Arabidopsis thaliana: one gene and its partner. The protein of the gene in region 1 interacts with the protein of each later gene in a pairwise test. Each region holds a gene or a part of one and is shown in the gene's direction. Other genes may lie near its edges. The genes, in order: RTE1 and CB5-A.

Region 1 (3,929 bases):
ACTTCCTGTACAATGTACATACGTAGTCCTAAGTTCTTCCCTCATTTATTTAATAAAATACATTTCTTTATGTTCCACTTTCTTATACGTATAACATTCCATTTGGATGATGTGATCACCATCGTGGTTATATTTATGCCATATGATCTCTTTGAAAAAAGTTTGAATTCTTAGGATATTTATTGTTTCATTTTATAATTAGGAAATTTGGCAAAATAACCATAATTCTAGGTTTTATAAACAAACTGACTGACAACATATAGGTTCTGAATGGTTGCATGTAGAGTAAAAAGTGGAAGTGAAGGAGACAAAAAAATTTAGTGAAAGAAACAACCAAATATTAAAGGAAAGGAATCTAAATTTTGAAGTAGTTATTTTTTCTCTCTCCTTTGGGTAGAGTTAGATTTTTTTTTATAAAAAAAAGCTTAATACCAACTTGAACTTCCTTTCCAAAGAAAACTAGGAACTTGGTAGAGTTAAAATTTAATTTCACTTTTCTACATTTTGGCCAAAAAAAAACAAAAAGCAGTTCTAACCAATGCTAATCTTTTCTATTTTAGAGACACACATTGGAACAAAATCAACTCTAAAATAGTGAAAAAAAATAAAGGTAGGACATGGGAGATGCTCTTATGTTTCTGCTAATTTTTTCAATTGCCACTAATCAGACTTGTAGCATTATTCTACTAAATATCAGATTGGACATTAGATCACCTATACTAAAACCATCTCCAATGGTCACCTCTATAAATAGAGGAAAATATAGAGGTCATCATTAGAGATGCCCTAAGTCCTTGAACCAAAACCTGTATTTCCTCACAGAAAATAGATTTTCTGTATAGCCACATTAATTCATTCTAACTAGACTCTCACTGAATCTTTGAGAGGACCAACCTCATAATGATTTTTTCCTATCCTATATACTAATGCTTGTTTTTTTTTTTCTTCCGAAAGGTGATTAAAGGAGCATATTCTCATCGAGCCCTGTTCGGTTACCTCTCTAGCAAACAACTCATCTATCCTACGCTTTATCACTATTTTAGAGCACCTGACATTTCTCTTAAGAACAAATCAACCTTGTAAAGCATATGTGGCTTGATTCAAAAAGACAAACACTAGTGATAGACGCAAGAACCCTAAATAAAAAAAGTTTTCTAGATTCTCAAAACCGTTAGGTCTGACAGACATATATAAACAATTATCGAATTGTTATTAATTAATACGATGTCACTCTATACCTATAATAGAGATTAGGGTTTCCATGTGTTCATTTATCCAACCATAATTAATAACGACAACGGTAATCAATAAGACACATTAAGATTGATCGGTCAAGAGTTATGAGTTTCATAAGTCATCTCCAAATTTTGCGGAAACTAAATATTTAAACATCGGATTCTCTGTTTGTCAGTTGTCAGATCATCTGACTCGCATGCACATGATTCGTCTCAAAAAGGCAAACACGAATGATAGATGCAAGGACCCTAAATCAAGAAAGTTTTCTCGATTCTTAAAACCGTTACGTCCGACAGAAAAACATAAACAATTGTCGAATTGTCATAAATACGATGTCACTCTATACCTATAATAGAGATTGAGGTTTCCATGTGTTCATTTATCCAACCATAATGAATAACGACAACGGTAATCAAACACGACAAATTAGAAATAATCGTTCAAGAGATTTGAGTTTTATAGATTGACTCCAAATTTTACGGAAACTAAATATATAAACATCGGTTTCTTTGTTACAAAAAAAAAACATTGGATTCTCTTCAGTATTTGAGCTTTTATTACTGAAAATACAAATTTTATAATTTCGTAGCTCTGGATTCTGATAGTAAAACTGCAATTGAGAAGGATATTCAAATATTTCAAAATTTTCTAGTAAAACTGCAATTCGTAGATCTTTTTTTTTTGTTCAAAGTTTTGATAAAGCAAACGTCCCTTTTTCCTTAAAATAATTAACTTAGTATATAATAATAAAATTAAGACAGTGCAGTAATTGATAAACAACCAAAGGTTCATTGTACCTTTCTCCATTGTCTTCAATGAATTCCTAAAACTAGAAGAAGCGTTACTTTAGAAAACCAATTATAAAAATCTCCTCTTTCTTCATCAAATTCCACAAAGCATCAGTTTCTTCTCCTTCTCCAAGCTCTCGCATCACTTTCATCGATTTTTCCTCTCTGCGTCGATCCTTCAGACATCGGCGTCGGAGTTTCCGACAGGTAAATGTAAAACACAGTCCACTGTTATTCCCTGCTTCTTAGCTTTCCATTATGATTTTTTGTTGTGATTTTTACTGTTTTCTACGGAAATGCTTTTGATGGGTTTTGTTTAGTTTCCGGTGAAATTTACAGAGAAACCCACAATGCTGAAAATCTGAATTAGGCTCAAGTTAGGAGATTACTACACAATTAGTGCTGTGAGAATGAATATACGGACATGCTTTGTTAAAAAGATTGAAACTTTTGCTTCATTTTGATCAAAAGATTTTAACTTTCGATTCTTTTAGTAAATGGGTCGCTCTTTGTTTGGACTATAATGATCAGACTGCTCTTGTCTTGTGTGATTAGGAATCTAAAAATGTCACGTGGAAGAGGAGTTCCTATGATGGACCTGAAACGAAGTTATGATGTTGAAGACAGGGTGGTGTCCGTGTCTATACCATCAATAATCGAAGCTGATGAGGCTGATCTGTGGCCACTACCTGAGATTGATACCAAGAAGTCGAAATTTCCTTGCTGTATAGTTTGGACTCCTCTTCCTGTTGTCTCTTGGTTGGCTCCTTTCATTGGTCATATTGGACTTTGCAGAGAAGATGGAGTCATTTTGGACTTTGCTGGATCTAACTTCATCAATGTTGATGATTTTGCATTTGGTCCTCCTGCTCGCTATCTCCAACTCGATAGAACCAAGGTATTAGTATCTGCTTCTTTATTAAGTAGAATCTGGTTATGCATGGACTTTGTTAGTTTTGTATCAAATTATAAGAACTTTTTAATCTTTATCAAATGTGTGTGTTTGTGGCAGTGTTGCTTACCACCAAATATGGGTGGACATACTTGCAAGTATGGATTCAAACACACCGACTTTGGAACAGCGCGTACATGGGATAATGCACTGAGCTCGAGCACACGTAGCTTTGAGCATAAAACCTACAACATCTTCACTTGTAACTGCCATTCGTTTGTTGCAAACTGTTTGAACCGTCTTTGCTATGGTGGCTCAATGGAGTGGAATATGGTGAATGTTGCTATTTTACTTATGATCAAAGGGAAATGGATCAATGGTTCATCAGTAGTCCGCTCGTTTCTGCCATGTGCTGTGGTCACGTCTTTGGGGGTGGTGCTTGTCGGCTGGCCATTCCTCATCGGTCTCTCTTCGTTCTCGCTACTACTCTTTGCCTGGTTCATAATTGCTACTTACTGTTTTAAGAACATAATTACTTGAAGCAGTATGAGAGAAATATAAATATGATGTATCACCAAAATTATGTTAATCTTAAGAATTGTTCTCTTTTCCTTTCGGCACCATCTAGCTTTCAACTCCAAAATTATGTTAATCTTAAAAAATTGTTCTCTTTTTCCTAATCCGTAGATTATTTAGAGGTGATGTGTCATAGTAAAGGAAAAAAATATACATATTCGGAGGCCCTTAAGAAAAAAACATACAATATCCAAATAAATGTATTGTTAGGTATTAACAAAAAGAAAAAATATTGTAAGATCTTACAAGCACAAGCAGCAACCATATGAGTTGCATCTAAATTTGCTATTTATATGGAAAAAAGAAGTTTCTCCAAAGTTGTACGATATCAGCTATGTATTTTTTGTTTCGTCAAAAAGTTGTTTATTAAATTCCACAAAGTTGTACCAACAGTGTTAAAACTTAAGTGATCGTAGTAAAAGTAAAACAGAAATCGT
Region 2 (3,929 bases), on another chromosome or scaffold:
AGCTTTGCTACAGAAGATAGAGTTAGGACCCTGTTTATGTACAAGATGTCAGCTGAGGCACCAAGCAAAGGATTCCCGTCTATCATTGGTCACACTCCTGCCATACTCCCCATTGTGGATGACAAATCTAGTGGAAATGTAAATTCATTAAACTTTTTCGTAGTTTCTTCTCTTAAACTTGTTTTTCCTCTCTAGTTATCTAATAGTTGTTAGTTGTTACATTTCGTCAGGGAACACTCGAGATATCTAATTTGCACTTCACTCCAGACGGGCTGCATCTTATTTTAACTGGCAACATCAAAACACCTTATTGCAGGTTTGGACTCTTTATTGTTTCATATGGTACAGAGATACAGAATAAAGATATTAGCTAAGAGATTATTATTTTCCCTTTTTTGCAGGAAGAGGGAAACTGATTGCTCGTGTTTGATTTGTACATCAGCCTGTTTTGAGGAGAATGCAGTGAGGATTGTCCAGGTGAAAACTGGTCATGTTTCTCTTGTGACAAAACTTCAAGCAGATGACAGTGTGCAGTGTGTGGTGGTGTGCGATCCTAACAATCTCATTGCAGCTGTTAAGAGTGGAAACCTTATTGTCTGGGCCATGAACTCGCATTGGAGGTACTCTCATCAGAGTTCATTACTCTTCTCTTAAAATAGTTGTCAGATCCTTCTTCTATTTGGAGCTATTGGATCATCATTGGAATTTTTGCTAATGTTCTTGTATCCTTAATTTGCAGTGGTCCTACCGAAGAATATGTTATACTCGCAAATCCTTGCATATCATCATGCATCATGGAACTGAAGAAGATACCAAAATGTCCTCATCTCGTTATTGGGCATAATGGTATAGGAGAATTTACAATATGGTATTTTGCTCCCTCTTTCTCTCTCTCCCTCTATCTTTAGAGTTTTTTTCTCTGCCCATCTCTTTGTTAAATTACAGAACACTATCCGTGCTAGGGAATGATGAGGAGCAGCCAACTTTGCTTGATCTTTTTCTTCCTGTCTCCATTGTTTCGGCCTGCTAACTTTGTTTATTATCGATTTAGGGATATCTCGAAGCGAAGCCTAGTATCAAGATTTGTATCTCCCAGCAATTTGATCTTTGAGTTCATTCCGACGAGCTTGTTTGCATGGCACCCTGTACATAGTCATTCTACAATCGAGGATAACGTTGACATGATTTTAGCTGCAACAAAATTATGGTTCTCAAAAGGGGTCAACAACAAAACATTGGTTCCAGCTGAAGTCAAAGACACTGCTATTTGGCTTTTAGTCTCTACTGATCTTGACTCAGATGCTAAATGTGACCGTGTAGAAAGTCCAGTTAGATGTTGGAGACTTGCTCTCCTTGTGAAAGACCAACTCATATTGGGAAGTCAGTTGGATCCGAGGTATTATCACACATCTCTTTCTTTACATGGATACTGTCTTTCTCAGGCTCCTCTGGTTTCTCCATGTTCCGAGAAATTAGTTTTGCTTTGGGGATTATATGAGAAGTAAATGGTATATGAATGGTAACATTTCTAAATCCATGGTTCATTGGCTATGGATTTGTGGTTTACAGGGCTGATGTTGCCGGTACAATATCTGGCCATGGAGTAGCAGGCACACTTGATGGACTTGTGTATATGTGGGACTTATCCACTGGCACTAAACTCGGCTCTCTCCATGATTTCAAAGGTATACACTGATTGAAGTTTTAACTAGATATATCCATGAAAATAACGAAGTCAATTCTCAAAAGTTAATATTGTTACATGGATTTTGTCAGGTCAAAGAGTTTCATGCATCAGTACTGATGATTCCAGAAATATATGCATAGCAAGTGAAGATGGTCAGCTCCTAGTTTATTGCCATCCGGAAAAGTAAACTCAAAATCAATCAAGGAGGGTAACAACAAAAAGATGTTTTGCCAAAATGACTTCAATTGGCTTGGTTACATTTTTAAGTCAACTAAGTTTTTATGCTTGTAAACTTTTACCATATGGCTTACAAGTTGAGAATTTTCTAATCTAGTTAAAAAAAATTGTACGAAGATGTAAATGATAAATGATGATAAATAAATCTTTTATGTATATTCGTTGCTACAACTTACAAGGCATTTCTGATTTCTCAGTAATTTTTTATTCCATTTTTGCTAATTTTCCAAAAAGGAATTAAGAATATGAAATTATAAATAATTAAATTAAACGACGTCGTTGCTGAGAGGGCTCTAGCTCTTATTATCTTTCTCCTCTAGTCTGCTCATCTTTTCGCGTGGTCGACCAAACCTAAAACCCCCAAAAAGAGAAAAATCAAAGACCATTCGCTATTTCGCTCGCTACTCAGTTTCAGAAGAAGATGCCGACACTCACAAAGCTTTATTCCATGGAAGAAGCCGCAACTCACAACAAGCAAGATGACTGCTGGGTCGTCATCGACGGCAAGGTCTACTCTTTTTCTCAATCTTCTAATTTCAATCCTTGTTCATGTGTTTGTGAATCCTGAAGTTTCCTTCGCTTTCAGAAACCATATCTGTGTCTTGTTGCCTATAGAATCTAATGAAGAATCTTGTAATTGCTGTTTATATGTAGTTAGATTGAGCTAATCAGAATCTTCTTCCTCTTTTTTTTTGTTGATAATGTGTTGACTTCACAATCTTGGTCCCCAAGAAAATGATATGGCTGATGCGTTCTCTTTACAGGTCTATGATGTATCCTCTTATATGGATGAGCATCCTGGAGGAGATGATGTGCTTCTTGCTGTCGCAGGTAAGCTTCTTCTTCTTCCTCTTGCCCATCCTTGCTAAATGACTGATCTGTTGTTGTCTCTACTCTAATCCAAGTAAATGTGATGATGTTGTTGTTGAAGGCAAAGATGCAACGGATGATTTTGAAGACGCAGGGCACAGCAAAGATGCTAGGGAACTTATGGAGAAGTATTTTATTGGCGAGCTAGATGAATCTTCTTTACCGGAAATACCTGAGCTTAAGATCTACAAGAAGGACCAGCCACAAGACTCTGTTCAGAAGCTTTTTGACTTGACAAAGCAGTATTGGGTTGTTCCTGTCTCCATTATCACCATCTCTGTAGCGGTTAGTGTCTTGTTCTCTCGCAAGACTTAATAAGTAGTAGTCTCTTTCTTACCTTGATATGCTCTGGGATATTGAATTACTTGGGGAATCAACTTTACACCCCCATTATAGATTTTTTGAATAACAGATATGATAGAGAGATAATTGTTATTTTTCATTTTTATCAGATTTTGAGTTGAGATCATGTTTCAATACACTTATTATCGATATGATTATATATGATTAATGGATGGTTTGGTTTGCTGGTATCAATCTTTTTATTAGAAGAAGTCTTTGCATATCGTCCCTTTTGGTAGCAGATAACCTCGCAAAGCCGACGTTATCTATATAGCATTGATATTATGTAGTATCTGTCGATTTGATTCAGAAAGACCAAAAACATGTACCAAAATATCTTCCTTGCTTGTCCTTTTAGTATATGTAACTGAGAGAGTATGAGACACTGGTGGATCTATGATCATATAGCGATGAGAATATATTAGTTAGGATTGGAAATCCCAATTCCTGAAAGTTGGTAGCTCTATCTCTAGGTTCCAGTTGAGAAAGCCACTTCTTTGTAGAATTTCTTTGCTTTGTATTGGTACATGAGATCTCCTCTCAAGTTCATGCAATTATAGGACCTGATGTATCGCTAATTGCTTCTGAATTGAAATTGTCCACGGTCTATAAGACCAGCCAGTACCAAAAAGGGAATCCTGCAGGTTAGATCTTGTTGGTTCTGGCTTCTGTTGATGATAATGCTGGTGGTATTATGGTCTGCGTCAGCTTTGTCTAATTCTTGCAACAACACTCCTTTGTTTTTTGAGTTGTGTTACTCTCCTTGATTGAAAATAACAACCAAAATTTTTCT

Evidence for each region.
Region 2: the proteins of RTE1 (region 1) and CB5-A interact in a two-hybrid assay, tested with the Arabidopsis thaliana proteins (one study listed by BioGRID).

What each region holds. Positions count from the first base shown.
Region 1 is NC_003071.7:11,105,268-11,109,196, reverse strand, and holds RTE1 (protein REVERSION-TO-ETHYLENE SENSITIVITY-like protein (DUF778)), read left to right. Parts: upstream 1-2,008; 5' UTR 2,009-2,231; intron 2,232-2,579; 5' UTR 2,580-2,589; coding exon 2,590-3,456; 3' UTR 3,457-3,592; downstream 3,593-3,929. UniProt on the Arabidopsis thaliana protein: Acts at an early step in the ethylene signaling pathway. Positively regulates ETR1, leading to the negative regulation of ethylene responses.
Region 2 is NC_003070.9:9,111,647-9,115,575, forward strand, and holds CB5-A (cytochrome B5), read left to right. Parts: upstream 1-2,217; 5' UTR 2,218-2,345; coding exon 2,346-2,432; intron 2,433-2,688; coding exon 2,689-2,755; intron 2,756-2,855; coding exon 2,856-3,109; 3' UTR 3,110-3,331; downstream 3,332-3,929. Other genes in the region: AT1G26330 (DNA binding protein), read left to right, coding at 1-138, 231-316, 402-620, 740-868, 1,052-1,396, 1,570-1,685, 1,777-1,874.